Linked DNA regions of Callithrix jacchus. The protein of the gene in region 3 purifies or fractionates together with the protein of the main gene of each other region. This does not show direct contact. Links are inferred from orthologs where the notes say so. Each region holds a gene or a part of one and is shown on either strand. Other genes may lie near its edges.

The links.
Region 1: the proteins of SCAP (region 3) and SREBF1 purify together in Homo sapiens (affinity purification with western blotting; 4 studies listed by BioGRID and IntAct, with this or other methods). This does not show direct contact. The link is inferred for Callithrix jacchus from reciprocal best matches to the Homo sapiens genes SCAP and SREBF1.
Region 2: the proteins of SCAP (region 3) and SREBF2 purify together in Homo sapiens (affinity purification with western blotting; 3 studies listed by BioGRID and IntAct, with this or other methods). This does not show direct contact. The link is inferred for Callithrix jacchus from reciprocal best matches to the Homo sapiens genes SCAP and SREBF2.
Region 4: the proteins of SCAP (region 3) and INSIG1 purify together in Homo sapiens (affinity purification with western blotting; 11 studies listed by BioGRID and IntAct, with this or other methods). This does not show direct contact. The link is inferred for Callithrix jacchus from reciprocal best matches to the Homo sapiens genes SCAP and INSIG1.

The regions. Positions count from the first base shown.
Region 1 is NC_133506.1:69,312,976-69,317,432, reverse strand, and holds the start of SREBF1 (sterol regulatory element-binding protein 1), read right to left. Parts: upstream 3,031-4,457; 5' UTR 2,864-3,030; coding exon 2,773-2,863; intron 1-2,772.
Region 2 is NC_133502.1:189,935,557-189,940,039, forward strand, and holds the start of SREBF2 (sterol regulatory element-binding protein 2), read right to left. Parts: upstream 3,004-4,483; 5' UTR 2,772-3,003; coding exon 2,375-2,771; intron 1-2,374.
Region 3 is NC_133516.1:30,074,892-30,078,815, forward strand, and holds part of SCAP (sterol regulatory element-binding protein cleavage-activating protein), read right to left. Parts: intron 2,905-3,924; coding exon 2,747-2,904; intron 1,915-2,746; coding exon 1,694-1,914; intron 1,512-1,693; coding exon 1,406-1,511; intron 762-1,405; coding exon 589-761; intron 206-588; coding exon 79-205; intron 1-78. UniProt on the Homo sapiens protein: Escort protein required for cholesterol as well as lipid homeostasis.
Region 4 is NC_133512.1:92,931,723-92,935,646, forward strand, and holds part of INSIG1 (insulin-induced gene 1 protein), read right to left. Parts: intron 3,131-3,924; coding exon 3,006-3,130; intron 2,517-3,005; coding exon 2,350-2,516; intron 2,025-2,349; coding exon 1,925-2,024; intron 988-1,924; coding exon 917-987; intron 1-916. UniProt on the Homo sapiens protein: Oxysterol-binding protein that mediates feedback control of cholesterol synthesis by controlling both endoplasmic reticulum to Golgi transport of SCAP and degradation of HMGCR.

The DNA.
Region 1 (4,457 bases), on a different chromosome or scaffold from region 3:
GTGGCGGAGGCTGCAGTGAGGTGAGATCATGCCACTGCACTCTAGCCTGGGCAAAAGAGTGAGACCCTGTCTCAAAAAAAAAAAAAGGTTTATGAAGAGTGTGTAGCCATCCCAAACCAAAAAGAGAGAGAGAGAGACAGAGAAGAAAAGCTCTTTCACATAATTAGCAGGGCTTATCTCTGGGTGATAGCTTTAAAGTTTTATTTGAGACAGAATCTCACTGTCACCCAGGCTGCGTGCAGTGGCGCAGTTACAGCTCACTGCAGCTCCAGCTTCAAGCAGTCCTCCCACTTCAGCCTCCAGCATGGCTGAGACTACAAACATGTGTTACCCACACCCAGCTAATTTTTTTATTTTTGTAGAGACAGGATCTTGTCATGTGGCCGAGGCTGGTCTCAAATTTCTGGATAAAAGTAGTCCTCCTGCTTCAACCTCCTAAAGTGCTGGGATTATAGGCGTGAGCCACCACACCTGGTCTAAAGGTTTTAGTTTCTTCTTTTTGCTCACTTGCACTTGCTAATTGTTCTACAATGAAAAAAGATGTGTAATTGGGGCTGGGCACGGTGGCTCACACCTGTAATTCCAGCACTTTGGGAGACCGAGGTGGGTGGATCACGAGGTTAAGAGATCGAGACCATCCTGGTCAACATGGTGAAATCCCAGCTCTACTAAAAATACAAAAAATTAGCTGGGCATGGTGGCACATGCCTGTAATATCAGCTACTTGGGAGGCTGAGGCAGGAAAATTGCCTGAACCCAGGAGGCGGAGGTTGCAGTGAGCCAAGATCGCGTCATTGCACTCCAGCCTGGGTAACAAGAGTGAAACTCCGACTCAAAAAACAAAACAAAACAAATAATAAAAAAAAAATATGTTTAATTGGAAAGAACAGGAAGTTTGAATAAAAACTGAAAAATCCTCTACTGAACTGGGTAAAGCTGGGCCTGCCTAGTGAGAAGGGGCTGCCGAATCTTCAAGGCACTGGGGCTCTCTCACAGACTAGAACTTGGGCCACATGGCTGCCCATGCCTGGCCTTTGGATCTGGAGAGACAGTGTTTTTATCCATGAGTCAGTAAGAAAGGTCTGTATCAGACCTGTGGCCCAGACCGGATTCTGCTGTCCAGCTGCCCATGAAGGGAGGGTTTGTATCCTCATTCTTCTGGAGGTGGAAACTAAGGTTCAGAGAGTGAGAGGGCTTGAGCAGGATGGCAGAGGAAGTGAGGAGCATCCAGGTTCAAGTTCTGACCCCAAAGCCCATGTCCGGCTGGCTTGGTCCTGCTGCCTCTTGGACTACCCTCACTGGGCCCTGTGCTATGGAACTAGTTAAGTCAGGCCTAGATCTCCCTAGGGCTTGGGATTTCAGGGTCCACCTTTCCAGGATGCAGTGAAGGACAACCCCTCCTGCCAGGTGTAGGGGAGGCTGTTTTGGAAAAGCCTCAAAATCAGGGCCTCTCCTCTTGGGTCCTCCCCTAGCCAAGCCCCAGAGGGAAGGAGGAAGGGCTGGGAAGCTCCTGGAGCTGGCAGCCAGCTGAGCTCATCTGCAAGGCTGCAGTAGGGCAGGAGTGGGGGTGGCATAGATACATCTGTTTTGCCAGCCCCAGGGTGGCCACAGGTTCCACGGACATGTCCATTCAGGTTGTGAGTCTAGGCATCTTCTTCCTGCAACCTCGTCCTCAGTTTCCTCATCAACCAAGTGCAACTTAGCCCATGTTGCTAAAGCTCCTGCACGGAAACCATGGAGGAAATTTGCTGGGACTTTCCTTTGCTGTCTGCAAAATGGAAGCAACGGGCCTCCTAACTGGCACTTAGTGCCACCGTTGGCCCCAAACCCCGTCCCCTGACAGCCAGTGTGGTGCTCCAAAGATGGAAGCAGGTGCCGCGGTCCTGCTCCGCCCCTTCCCTGGCCGAGTAAGGCTGCTGGCGTCCTCTCCCTCCGCAACCTTTACGAGCCTTTAACTCCTCACACTTAGGCCCTGCCTCGGGGCCTTCGCCCTTCCCTCGCCCTGGCCTGGAAAACATCTTTCCCTGCTAGTCCTGGGGGTGGCCCTCAGGTCTCAGCTCAGAAGTCCCTGACGCTCTACCCAAAGTAGCCACCTACCTGCCCTCCCCTCGCCCCGCTCCACCCAACGTGCAACTAAATATCTATTTGCTGGTTTCCCGGGGGATGGTGTTCCCGAAAAGAGCGGGTGCCCAGGACTGTCTGTGATCCCTCGGTGCTTAAGACGGGGCCTGGCATTCGGTTAGTGAATGAGTGCGGAGGCGATGCCGGTAGAAGACCGGGGAAACCCGACCCGTGGCCGGGCAAGTGGGCGAGCAGCGCCCGTGCGCTTGCGCACGAGCTCCGACGCCCAGCTGAACTCTCGGGCCGGAGGGAATGACCGTGAGTAACCTCTCATTGACGTCACGGCTGGGGCTGGGGCGGGGCTTCGACGACGCCCGGGTCCCCAGCTCCAGCCGCGGCCGCCACAGGGCTGGAGACTCACCCACCGGTCGGGCGGTACCCGGCCTGGGACGCGTAGAGGCGCACGTGTCCCGGCCCGGAGCCGCCAAGGGACACCGGCCCGGCCCGGGAGTCCTCGCCGAGCGCGCGGCTCGAAACGCCAGGGCGGGAGCCAGGAAGGCTCGGCGAGGCCCGGGACACCGAGGTCCACGGCGCGCAGCTCAGCACGAAGCTGGCGCCCGGGGAGGGGGGAGACAAAGGCCAGGGAGCCACCTGCGCGCCCCCCACTCGCGCCACCCGGCGCGGCTTCAAGCCCTGCCCACCCTGACGCACCTTCGATGTCGGTCAGCAGCGCCGCGTCCAGATCGCACGGCTCGCTCAACGCCTGCTCCAAAACCGCCTCGCTGAAGGGCAGCTCGTCCATGGCGCAGCCGCCTCCTCCGGGAGGCCCGCCGGGCCCGCCGCCGCGCACGGCCCTTCTGAGGGACTGCCGCCGGTCCCGGCTCGCAGCTTCCGCCGCCGCTCCACGCGTTCGTGTCCTGCCCTGGCCTCGCAGGAGGTCCGGCGCCCGCGAAAAGTTCCTCGGAAACTGGGTTCCCGCGGCAGCGGCTCCGCTGGGCGGTGAAGGAGGAGGCGGGGCCTTTCGGGGGAGGCCCCGCCCTCCCAGATAGACGGCCCCGCCCCACCTTGAGAGAGCGGGTACCCCTGATCCCCAGTCTGCGCCACAAATCTGCCCTCAGCGGGCCCCTCCTCCAGAGCGCCCTCCAGTCATTCATTTTGTCCAGCCTCGCGCACCGTGGCAGAGCGGCCTCTGGCCGGCTGCTGCGGGAACGCGGGTAAACCAAGTCCTCTCTCTGGGCCTCGGTTTCTCCAGCACCAAGCAAGGAGCTGAGTGGAAGCCCCAGGCCTGGGCCCATCACAAACCAAAGCTTCCTCACTTCCTAGATTTCACTCTTGAGAACAACACAGACCAGGACCCAAGTTACAGGGGTCCCAGGTTTGCTGTGTTGTGAGCAGACCTGATGTAACTGCTGGGCCAGTTACATCACTCAGCTTCAGTTTCCCTCATTTGTAACGTGGGCCTCATGATGCTTCCTCACCGGCAGGCTGGGAGGCTAGTGACGATGTGGAGATCAGCCTGCCCTCTCTCCAAAGAAACCAGAAGATTGGCCACCTGAAGACAGGAGTGACTGAAGAAAGAGGCTGGAATTTCCTATCGTCGTCATCTGGTTTCGTCCCAGATCCAGCCCTAGGGATAGGACCCCAGCAGGCCCAGTGCCGCTCCTGACAGAGGAAGCGGGTACCCAAGGACGGCTGGCCCCAGGGCTGTCTGATCCCAAATTTGGTGCTTGTTCCTGGGAGTGGCCAAGACAGGGGCCACAAGGAAGAGTTGGCTGAGCTTTAGCTCAGAGCCAGGCTGCCCTGGACCATGACAGCTGGGACTAGGTCAGAGCAGACAGCCCTGATGAGAAGAGAGAAACCAAACCCAGTTCTGTGGCCTAGGGACAGAGCCAGGTGGAGCGGGAAGGAGGGAAGGGGTCCCAATGAGGTGGGTTGAAATAAACCAGAATTAACATTCAGTTATCTGAATGTGATAAGACAGTGAGCTCCCTGTCCCCAGAGGTATGCAAGCAGACAGAAGCACCCTTGGTGGAGGGCAGCCAAGGAAACTCACCAGGGCCTGGTCCTCAGGCCCTCTGGACCCTGGGCTTTAATGAGTCAAGCCATCCTGCAGACTGCCTTGCTCAGACTCCAGATATGGTCTGACCACACCCTAAGCAGGAGTAAAATTCCTGTGCATGTTAGAAGGGGTGTGTGGGGGAGAGAAGCCACAAAGCCAAGTCCCTGGGCTTGGACATGCAGCTCCCTTTGTTCCTCTCTCAGAAGTGGCTGCGATGGAAAATTACCCAGAACAGGAACGCCAGAGTTATGGGGGTCGCCAAACCACATCTCCTCAGCCACCCCTACTCAAGGATCCACACAGGACCCACTCCCTCCAGATGAACCACTGCTGGAGA
Region 2 (4,483 bases), on a different chromosome or scaffold from region 3:
TTACAAATTAAGACAGGGTTGGGTGTGATGGCTCATGCCAGTAATTCCAGGACTTTAGGAGGCCCAGACAGGAGGACCGCAGGTGCCCAGGAGTTCAAGACTAACCTGGGCAACATAGTGACACTGGCTCTCCAAAAAATATATATATATTAGCTGGGTGTGGTGGCACATGCCTTAGTCCTAGCTACTTGGGAAGCTGAGCTGGGAGGATTGCTTAAACCCAAGAGTTCAAGGCTGCAGTAAGCTACGATTATGCCACTGGACTCCAGCCTGGGCAAGAGCCAGATCCTGTCTCTAAAAAAAATTAGGTGGCTCACACCTGTAATCCTAGCACTTTGAGAGGCCAAGGCAGGAGGACCATTTGAGCCCAAAAGTTTGTGACCTATGCTAGCCTGGCAACAGAGTGAGACCTCATCTCTACAAAACTTCAGAAGATTTGCAGGGCGTGGTAGCACACGTCTGTGGTTCCAGCTACTTGGGAGGCTGAGGTGTGAGGACTGCTTGAGTCCAGAAAGTCAAGGCTGCAGTGAGCTGTGATTGTGCCACTGCACTCCAGCCTGGGTGACAGAATACAGCCCTGTCTCAAAAAATAACTAAATATATAAAAATTAAAATTTGAAAATTAGATAAATAAACAAGTAGGAATTGATCATGGAACAGGAATGCAAAATGCACATGAATTCCTTTCTGTGCCCTTGCTGGTAGACAGTTACAGACATACAGTACTTTCTACTGGCTGTGTAATCTTCAGTAAATTAATGAACTGCCCTGGGCCTCACTTTCAGGATCTGTGAGAGGGAGATGACTAGTGTAACAGTTCTCGCTACCTGATGGTTATGAGAATTAAGAACATTAATGTGTATAAGTGTTTAACACTGGCTGGCACAGAAGTTCTTCAAACATGTTAGCTGCCCTTGGTAGGTACCCAACCTCCAACCCCCATTTGTTAACCCATCTCTGAATTTAGGAGCACTCAGTGAAGAGTCTGTGGTTAGAAGTGGGGCTTCAATTAAGGGTCTTACCACACTGTCCACAAGACTAAAATGGAAAACAAGGACACACCAAGGGGAGAAATACTACAAAAAGCAAAATGGGGATATGGCAAACAGATCCTTTTCAATTAGCTGCTGCATTTATCTCTTCTCTTGAAGAGAATCTTCTGCTGCTTCTGTTTCTTCATCTGCACAACAGGGATGCAGCCATCATACATGCCTGCAAGGCTGTAGTGAGATCCTAGATATGAAAGCATTCTGTAAACTGAAAAGTACCATGCATCTGCGTTTTTGCCTAAAGCTCTCTAAGGTGCGTGGCCTTAGATAAGTCAGCATCTCCTGTCCTCAGCTTCTTTCATTACCGTATTACAATAGGGGTAATCAGAATATCTCACATGATTGTTGTGAAGAAGTGAAATAACACAAAGTATTTTGGAGCCCAGAACACACTATCAAGTTAGTAAGATTACTAGCCTAGTCAACTGGACTCTCTGAACGAAGGGGTACAAAAAAATCAATACTGGCCCAGGAAATCGAAGAACTGGGCTCTAACCAGCTGGGTGACCTTGAGCAAGCCGCTGACCCTTTCCAAATCGTGATTCTCGTGGTCGCAAAATGAGTATTTTTAAGAGAGGATCCCTAGGCTCCTACCAGCTCTTCCACTCCGCTGTTAAGGCGCCGAAACAAAGGCCACCCGCTCCCCAGCCCGTACCCGAGGGGCCACAACTCAAAATTCCTTCTGCTCAATTCCCTTTGTAGCGTGACAGCAGGAGCGCCCGGGTCTCCATCCCGGAGAGATGCATCCACACTCCGCTGCCACCGCTCTCTTCATCAGCAACTTGCTTCTGTGGCCACTGCCCAAAGTTTCGCAGAGCACCCGGCGACCCGGCCGTCGGTCAATCCCGGGAAGACCAAGGATGCGGGGTGCGCAGACCCGGGGCTGGGCCCCGGGAATCTCAAAGCCGCCCCTGCGGCCGGGCAGGTAGTGATAGGTGTGACACGCTGCCGCGGGCGGCGGGAGACCGGACCACGGAGAGGGCGTCTGGGCGCGCAAGGGAGGCGGCGGCCACGCGCTCTCCTTAGGCCGCTCCCTGAGACGCCCCCGCGATGTCGCTGGCCCCGCGCTCCAGAACCCAAGACCCTCGAGCTGCTTTCGGCTCCGCGGCGCCCCAGATCCCACGGCCTCCCAGAGCGGCGCGGCTGGGCTGGGCTCACGCTCGCAGAGCCGGAAGGGTTGGGGGCCGCCGGGGGGGATTGTGCGCGCGGGGTGCTTCCCGCGCGAGCCGGGGCTGCCGAGGAGTGGGCGCACGCGCACCCGGGCGCGCCACCGTAACCCCTTCCTCCCCGCGCGGCCCCCGTACTCCCACCCACCCACCACTCACCGTCGATGTCCCCCAGGGTCAGCTCGTCGCCCAGCTCCGTAAGGGTCTCCATGGTCTCCAGACCGCCCAGCTCGCCGCTCTCGTCCATCGCCCAGCTCAGCGCAGAAGCCCCCCTGCCGTCCCGCTCAGGGAGACGCGGGGGCGGTGCCGTCGCCACCGCCCATGACACCCGACAACCCCCGTCCGGTATCGCCTCACCGGCGGATGCCAGCGGCCGCCATGTTTGCGTTGCGCCCTGGCGCCGCGCGGAAAGGGCGGGGCGGGATTCCCCCGCCCCAGCCCGCGCCCCCTGCGGCCACGCCCCCAGGCCGCGCGCCCCCTTGTTTGTTGTCAATGGGACCAGGCTCATCTCAGCCAATGGGCGCGCGAGGCGGCGCGTGGGGTGATGGCGCGTCATCGATCAGCAGCTCAGATTTGCATAGCGAGGTCCCTCCCCCCGCAACCTGGGAGCGAATGCGGTGAGTAACCGCTCGGTCTTCATCTTAACCTGCTCCTCCTTGTTTAAAGGAGCCGCTGCCTTTTCCGTTGGATCTGCTCCACACGTTATTCCGTCCACCGGCCTGGGAGTGAAGGGTTAACAGACCACCCTCCACCTGCGACCGCCGCCGCCTACAGCCTTTGCTGGAAGCACATTACGTCACCTTCCCAGCGGCCTCCGGGGGCCCTGCTCGCTGGAGAAAGCCGGCGGAGTCAAATCTGGCCCCCCAGCGCTCAGGACCGGAGTCCGGGTCAACGAAGTCCCGCTGCTCCCAGCCCCTTTACAAAGGCTGGCACCGAGGCTTGACTGGGTTGCGAATTGTCCCAGGGCAGTCAGGAGTTATCGTCTTCTGCTTTGCACCCGCCGTGAACTAGCGCTTACTCCAGTGGTCCTCAATCCCTGGGACCTCGGAACCACAAGACCTGAAAACCATGCCAGTGCCCAGCCCTACCGCCGGCCTCCTGAGACGGGGACCCGAGCACGAGTATTTTGAAAAAGTTCCACCGAGATTCTGAAGCGCAGCCCACCTACGGATTCCTACTCCTTCAACGACCTCACTGCCCCATCTTGCAGCTGGCCAGCTGGTCGTGTTGTAAACATCTAGGAATTTATCCCAAGGAATAAAATCACAAGTACTTAAAGAAGTGCTGTAACTAGGAAGAAGTGAGAATAAGGAAATGAATATGTAAATTACATCCACACGACGGAATACCATGGATCATTAAAAATTACGCACACAAAGGTATATTTATTGACCAAAAAAAAGGCGATCACACTGTCAGTCATAGTTACGGGAGTGGTGAGATTTGGGGTGAATTTTACGTTTTTCTGACATTTCAGTATTGTTTAAATTACCTTTTATAATAAACATGTATAAACTAGTGAGAAATAGTGTCTTAATTTTGGGGAAAACAAGACAAGATTGTTCTCTTCATTGTTCACACACAGGGAGGCTGGTACAGAATACACCAGTCTCACCCTGAAAGACAGAAAACTAAACCCTGCTCTGGCCCCAGCACTCAGCAGAAAGGTGCCACCTTCAACTGTGCTGCCCAGTGGCTCCTGCAGGGCCCTTCACACTGTTGTGTGACTGGTACTCTGGGGGTATTCAGCAATAACTTCCATATAACTCTCTCTGGCCCAGGGCACCCACCTATAACCCAGAGCCTCAGTAACCCCCTGCAGAGGTGGCACACAGCACCTGTGCCCATAGTTCCTCCCTGGACCTGCCCAGAGGCTGTGATGCCTGGCCAAGTGGACTGAGGGGGTACAAGTGAAGGCTCAGTAGAAATGCTGGAAGAATAGTGGCTAAACCCAAACCTCAGGAAACTGATATTTTCCCCCTGGCCCTGGATCCCATGTAACTGAACATCTCTTCCAGGTGGTACCTTGCCCTGGCTGGCAGGAAGACAAGGACTGGCTCTGAGGTGTAGGGCAGCTTTTGACAAGTCACTTCTCAGGACCGAAGCTCTTCATCGCAAAAGGGACGGACTCGACTGAGTAACCACTACGTTTAGATGTCTACCACGGGTTGGGCACCTGCTACGGGTCACAGAAGAGAATTCTATATATGGTTTTGCTGTGAGCAAAAAGGGCGATATGTCAGAGGAAGTAAATGAAAAACCACCTGT
Region 3 (3,924 bases):
GGCCAAGTACCCAGAAGTGCAAGGCTCTCTGGCCGGAGGGCTCACCCTATGGCCCAGTGGAGCCTGCTGGGGACCTACCCGCCATTGAGGGTGGGCGTCAGGCCGAAGAGTGTGCAGAGTCCCACAGACATGAGCAGCGAGCTGAGCACCGTGACCACAGCGGCCAGGGCCAGCCCCCACTTGGACTTGACCATGTCGATCTTGCCTGGAGGGCAGAGAGGGCACATCAGGGTGGCCCCTCCCCCAGCCCCCGGCACGCAGGGGCTCCCTAGAGTAGGGTACCTTGACAGTTGAGGAAGGGAAAGCTGGTTTCACCAAAACTAAGGGACAGGCACAAGCACTTCCCACTGTCATGAACACAGTACACCTTTCAGGAACCCTAACCCAGGAAGGGGCTGAATGTGGAAAGAGCCCTGGCCCCACCCAAGCCCCTAAGACCCTGCTGGGGGGTGAAGCCCCAGCTCTGGCAACCACCAGGTGTGTTCCTATATCTCTACCCGAAGCCACCTCCAGAGGCAAGGAACCAGGTGACATGGAGATGCCCATTTAGCTTGGAGAAAGCCCCTGACCTCCCTGTCATGAACCTACGCGTGGAGAAGTAGATGTAGGCAAACAAGATGATATAGGTGGTCACGAGGGGGATGAGCTCGGCGACACCAATCTCCTCCTTGAAGTGCACGTGGACCAGGCTCTCCGCCCGAAGGCTGCAGTTGGGGCTGGGGTGCAGAAGCATCAGGCGGGCACGCAGGCTGCCCAGGAACCTGGTCAAGAGCAAGGTTGGGGTAGATGGAAGGGTCCCTCTTGGTTCTGGGGACAAAGACAATTCTAGATAGAGGGTCCATCAGGACCTCCCCTCCTGCCCCTGTGTTGGAAGGGAACTTCCCTATGATGCCTGAGATTCTCTATAATCTCCAGGGATACTGGGAAAATCACAAAGGGGACAGAGTTTTCTCAGGAGCTCCTCCTACTCCTTTCTCAATCTCCTCCCTTTCTGGACCTACTACACTACACTTGATTGCCAGGAGAGCCTATCAGAAGCACCTCGAGTGCCTTTGCCAGCTGGGGAGCCACCTGCAGTGCCCCACTGGAAAGGACTCAGGCCTTAGGGGGCTCAGTAGTAACCAGATGCCTGCCCTAGGCTCAAGAGAGACCAGAGGAGGCACCAGGACACAGAGACTGCCAGCCCCGCCTTAGTCCCCTACGCTTAATCAGCTGCCAGTTCACCTCCATTAAAATGTGGCAGACAGCATCGCTTAGTCTAAGGGATATAAACATTTCAACAGGAAGCCCGGAAACTCTCGAAGTTCCCAGGGGGGCATTCAGAACACTAACCAGAAGAGGAACTACTCAAAACCTCACGTCACTCAGCAGACCAGTCAGGAGCCCAGGGCACTTTCAATCTTACTTGGCATGGTAGCGCTGGAAGACCAGGGTGATGGTATAGGAGACCATCCTCTTCCTGGTGTAGAGGCTCACCCCACTGTACTTCCCGGGAACACCAAACAACAAGTCTGCAGGCAGAAACCAGCAGGTACTGACAAAGAAATCGCAGCTACTGCAAAGCCACCAAGGACCCCTTTTTCACCCCCACCCCAGGAAATGGGGTAAACTCTGATCCGCCTAAGTGCCCATCAAAAAGACGGTGACCAATGGGCACCCTTACATGTCTGAAGGGAACTTGTGCCAGGGCTACCTTTGAGCGTGGCTGAAGTCTGCAGGGTTTTAGGCTCGTGCTGGTGGATGGTCCCGATGATGTCAGGATCAGCATGGAAGCGTTCCCAGTCATTCTGCCAGAAGTTCCCAGGGGACAGCAGCAGGCAACCATGCTCAGGGAGTAGGTTCCTGAGCTTCCTGAGGCCTGGCAGTAGGTCGGTCACTTGCAGACACAACTCCTCTAAGCTTCTGGTCCCAGAGCTATGCAGGAGACAGGACAAGGCAGCTGCTGTGTCTGCCACCAGAGGGCAGATCTGTTATACTTAGGGTACGTCTTCTGTCTGTTCTCCAATGCCCCGTATTTGCTCTGGTATCACCAAAGAGCCTGATGATTAGGGCAGCAGGGCAAAGTACTTCCAGGTGGCCAATTACCTAACCATGTCTGACTTTCAAAGTGCATCCAGAGCCCCAAAGCCCATCCCTTCTGAGGACAGGCAAGTGTACCATCGGAGCATGTACAACCCTGCCCACTAATACACCCTGGCCAATTCAGTGGATGACCAGGGAGTGGGATAAACTAGGAGCTTCATTTAGTTCATCAAAATATTTGTCAATGCCACTATCTAACTAAAATCTGGCAGTGATGCAGCTTGCCAATTACACATTTTGTATGCCAAGCCAGCATAATCCAGAGACCCACTGATGGCAGGGGAGCATGATCTGGGCTGGGGCTTCAGAAGGTACCCCCAGGTAGAGCTTGCTTCTCATTGATAGAGACACCGCCATTACACACCATAACACACAGGCAGGAAGCCATGCGGGTCATGAGTCAGCTCAGTGGACACTGAGTGCATCTGAGATGTAAGGATGAGACTCAGGGCTGTGTGTGTGCCACTGGCATAGGTCCAAGGGCAATGCAGCCACCATGGACCCACAAGGATGCTGAGAAATTGAAGGCTGGCTCATCCTCCATCCTTTTTGCTTGTTCTATTTCTGCAGAGCTGACTGGCTCACTGGAGTTACGCTGAGGTCCGTAACTCTCCCTTTAGTACAGAATGGGATTCAGGGAGGCCAGTGACTCTGAGAGGGGTACCTGTCTCTCAGCACGTGGTTCCGGATCTCCTCCACCAGCTGGAACGCCCGGGACAGAGGTGAACGAAATACATCTACTGCCAGGAGGTTCTTGTGCCAGGGAAACACTGAGGACTTCACAAATATCTGCTGGACATAAGCCACCGGGGCACCCACATACTGCAGAAGAAATGAGGGAGGGGTGGAAAGGGCAGTTCAGCACAGGAGGAAGAAACGTGATCCAACTCAAGAAACTGAATGGGCATCTGAAACCATGCCCCATAGAGTTAAAGAAACCAATGACTAATAGAAGTTCTTGAGTTTGCAGTATGGCAGATAAGAAACAATTGGCTTAAACCCAGATATTCCCTCCACTTATGAGATAAAAGAACTGGCTGAAATAAGCTGGAACCAAGATGGCCGACAAGTTGTGCAGAATGAGGCTGCTGGTGTCACAGCCCGAATTTCCACTGCATATTTCATACTAACTCCCCCAGAATTTGCACGTGGGACCCATGAGGTGGCATGAAGAGATAACTGCATGCTCAAGAACTTTCCAGACATCCCCCTTCCTTCCACCAATCATCTGCTAATCCCAGTATCCACCCTCTAAACCTTTTCTAATAAAATTACTGCCTCTCCTGTGTTCAAATCCTAAAAAAAAAAAAAAAGGAAAAAAAAAATTACTGCCTTAAAGCCAGCACAGGGAGACAGATTTGATCCGGACTCCTGTTGCCTAGGGAGTTAACCTTCAATATAAAGCTTTTTTTTTTTTGAGACGGAGTTTCGCTCTTGTTACCCAGGCTGGAGTGCAATGGCGCGATCTCGGCTCACCGCAACCTCCGCCTCCTGGGTTCAGGCAATTCTCCTGCCTCAGCCTCCTGAATATAAAGCTTTTCTTTTCCCTGAATCCTGGTGTCACAGTATTGGCTTCTAACACATTGGACAGTGAGCTCCTTTTGCTCAATAACACATCTACTGTGGGACCAGGTGTAGGCAAACTATGGCTTATAGGCCAAATGAGGGCCCACGCCTGTTTTTTCTTTTTGAGACAGGGTCTCCACTCTTGTCACCCAATCAGCTCACTGCAACCTCAATCTCCCAGGCTAAAGCAATCCTCTCACCTCAACACCCCCACCCCCCAAGTAGCTGAGACTAGAGGTGGGTACCACCACCATGCCTAATTGTCAAAACTTTTTT
Region 4 (3,924 bases), on a different chromosome or scaffold from region 3:
ACCAAACATTTTCCCCTAAGTTTAAAGAAAAAAAGGATAAAAAGAAATCTGAAGTAGGGAGAATTATAACGACGCCACTATCCTATTTTGAGTTATCTGACATTTTTTTCTGTACGGATCAAAGGAGCACAGCAGGAATTACTTAATGAAACTATCTTCAAAACTGAAAATGTTTCCTCTATTTCTAGATGTTTAGAACTTATGAATGTTGTGAAATTTCTTCATCCACCAAAATAATGCTCGTTTCTTAAAACTAATTTAAAAAGCCTTGACATATAATAGCATCAATCTACTTTACAGAAATAACCAACTCTTTAAATGTCATTCAAGTTTTAATTATAATGTATAAATAGTCAATCTGGTTGAGGGCAGTTTTATTCTAAACACCTTAGGAATTCTCTCCCAAAGAGCACTGAAACAAAAACAGAAAGCAAGAAAGCAGTGATGGAGTTGCCTAGCCCTCCTCGGAAGACTTAACAGTGATGAAGGTGAATCCGCAGAAGCGATGTACTATTTTCATGTGGGACCATCCAACCAGATTTGTAATATCGAAAAAAGCAAGGCCAGGTTCACGCCTAAAATCCCCGTGCTTTAGGCAGCCAAGGTGGGAGGATCACTGGAGCCCAGGAGTTCAAGCCCAGCCTCAACAACACAGGGAGATACCATCTCTACAAAAAATAAAAAAATTAGCCAGGCATGGTGGCATGTGCCTGTAATTCCAGCTACTCAGGAGGCTGAGATGGGAGGACTGCTTGAGTCCAGGAGTTCAAGGTTACAGTGAGCTGTGATGGTACCAGTCCGGGTGACTCAGTGAGCTCTGTCTCAAAAAAAAAAAAAGGCAAGCAGTCCTTTCTTCTCCGTCATGAGAAATCTGCCAGTAGAGACTCAGTAACCAGTGGAACACTACAAATTCCACTTGCAATTACTTCTGCTTTTGTGAAACAGCCAAGTGGCCTTCAAATTCAACTTCTCACAGAAGGGTATCAGCTGGGAAACATAAATGTACTGTTTTAAAAATAGCATGAGGTACCAAGATAAGTTTTCCAGGAAAGTCCCGGAGCTTATCTCCAAGAGCAATAGCTCTAGATTTTTTTTAATTCACTTTATTTCAGACTGCCAGTCAAAGTCAACTCAAAGTAACACTTAAAAGTCCGCCTCTATTTTTTTTTAGATTAAAGTGCTCAGATGCCAGTTTTTAATGGAAACTGCTGGCGCCATCCTGGGATTCATCTGCCTTTTCATCCCCCTCGGGGGCTGTGAGAGAAGCTCTGCAGGGTAGTGCAGGGAGGACAGGCAGGACGTCCGTCCACATGGGGACCTAGCCATGTGCAGCAGTGTTCTCGTCACCGCTTCTCCATGCCGAGGGCCACCTGCCCCACAGAAGGGTGCTGCCTGCCTGAACTAGGCCCTGCCCTGGCCTGAGAGAGACTCTGCAGCCTCAGTTCCCTTTGCTTGGCTTGCGGACTAAGAGGCCAGCATCATTTGCATACACTCTTGATTTTGTGAAAAGAAACTCTTGCAGACAGATGCTTAGGGAGCAAAGTATCACTGCATGAGGACATCCAGATCTGCTTCTGATGGTGATGGAGGCGGGGACACTCATACGCCATTCACTGGAGCCACCAGTCACTTTCTGTACTGCTTACTACAGAAGTTATGAAAATTCAGAACAATGAACACACCTGCAATTCAAAGGGCAGTGCGAGAGCTCTAGTTCCTTTCTAGATAAAATATGAGTTTATGTACCTATGAACTTTTACCTGGGTATCATTACCTATTTTTTTTAAATACAAGCTTTCCTCAGTTATTGTCACTTGAATCTGAACTGGAATATATAAACACAGATTTGAATGTATCATGTCAAATAATTCTATCAAGATAAAAAGACGGAAGTCTGAGAAGATGATATGATCGTTTCACTTACCATAGCTAACTGTCGTCCTATGTTGCCCACTGTGACGCCTCCTGAGAAAAATATACAGGGGAGCCAAGAACGAATATAGAGGAAGTCTGGGGATGTGTACCTGCAGCAAGAAAAGAAACTGTGCCTTAGCAGTCAGTTGCACCTGGCTCAGTTCTGCATCAAAGATCCTCTGTAAGGGGGATATGCAGAATGCATCAGCCACGAAGTGTTACAAAATGTTAATATTTGAATGGATTGTTGTAACTGCTGCTACTTGGTTTTCCTTTGCATTAAGTTATGAATAGAAACATTTTTGAGAATTTCATGCCTGAATCTATATCATTCCATATAAAAACCAAATAAAATATAAAAATATCTAAGCTTTATGGATGTTTTTGTGAAAGTTAAGTGTTTTCCAAAGTCAATATTTGAAAACAGACACTTACTGATAGACACCATTATACACGAGGAACTGAGTGATCAGGGTAGCTAGAAAAGCTATAGTGATGCCAAGCCCAAGGCCACTTCTGGAGCGATCGAACGTCCACCAGAGGCCCAGAGACAGGGCTGCCAAAGTCAAGGACAGCTGGACGTTGTTGGCAAAATCCAATTTCTGGTGATGCAAGAGTTAAGGAAAAGCTGAATGATTCTTAGTAAGATAAAAAACACTTTAAAACACACACACGCAGGGGTTAAAAACATGGTTTTTAAATTATTGCACCACAAATAATTAACTGCCCATAAAAACCCGCGTAGTGAGCTAAGGAAGGGTCTGTTGGGTAAGAGCTTACAGTGATCATCAAGATCACCTGAAATCTCCCTGGCATCACCGAGTCGCAAACTTGCTGAAAGCTATATATAAAGTTCTGTCAGCACTTTGATCATAAAACAATATATTTACTACCAAGTCATCTAGAGCCCCCATTCTTCTTTCTCTTTTCAGTAACCTGAAATGGGCAGGGGCCACCATCACGTTTGCATTATGACATGGCGTCATTTGAGTATACTGCACGAATATGAAATACTCATCAAACATGACAAAACAAAACTTCAACATATCACCTAAAAAGATCCTCTAGACATAGCACAGAAACAAGGATACAGCACTGGCATGGTTAATGCCAACAAAAACGGCTATGCAGCGCATGACACTGGCCCATTCTCTCTTAAACTTGTGGGGTTCTCCGAGGTGACTGTCGATACAGGGGTACAGTAGGCCAACAACAGCTGTTTAAAAAAAGATGACAGTTAGAACACAGCAGGCTTAAGTTCCAGAATTTCAACGTGGTCGTAAATAACACAGCACATCACCTGAACCAGTCCTTCTCCCAGAAAATACTATCAGCTGGAACTTCATAGCTAAGACTGATTTTACATTCTCGTTCTCTTTGAGTAGCACTCCCATGAAACCGTACTGTTTTGAAAAGTTTTTTAAAAATCACTATTATTTAGTGTAGCTGAATATGTCTTAGCAAACACAGAAATGAATCAAGCAGAAGCTATTCATGTGAATATGAGCAATATGTAACCTTATATTTAAAACCCCCATGTCCCTGAAGCGAAACTTACATGACCGTGTAGTTCACCCTGTCTTTTCATGCAGTGTGGTTTCTACCTTACAATGAAATCTGTCCACTCCCCGCAGCACAGCTGACACTCCTGCCACCACCCCACAATGGGACTGGGCACGTGATGAGATATGTATTTGCTGAATTGACTTTGACAGTCTGGGTCACATGCCCCTAGAGTGGCCCTGGAGTTGATTTTCGGGGTTCTAGCATGTACTGTACAAGACACTGAGCACCTACTGTGCACACATGCTCGTGCGCAAGGATGGAGAGAGCGAGCCCCACACGGGCTTCTCTACTCTCTGATTCCTGCACAGTCAAGCCCCATGCTGTGGAAAGAGCACCAGACCAAGAAGAGAAAAGTCAGTCTCAAAGCCCGGCCTGCTCTCTGATGGGACGTGGCTCTGCATGTTTGTGTTCTCATGTGTAAAATTATGAGGATTATGTAACTGG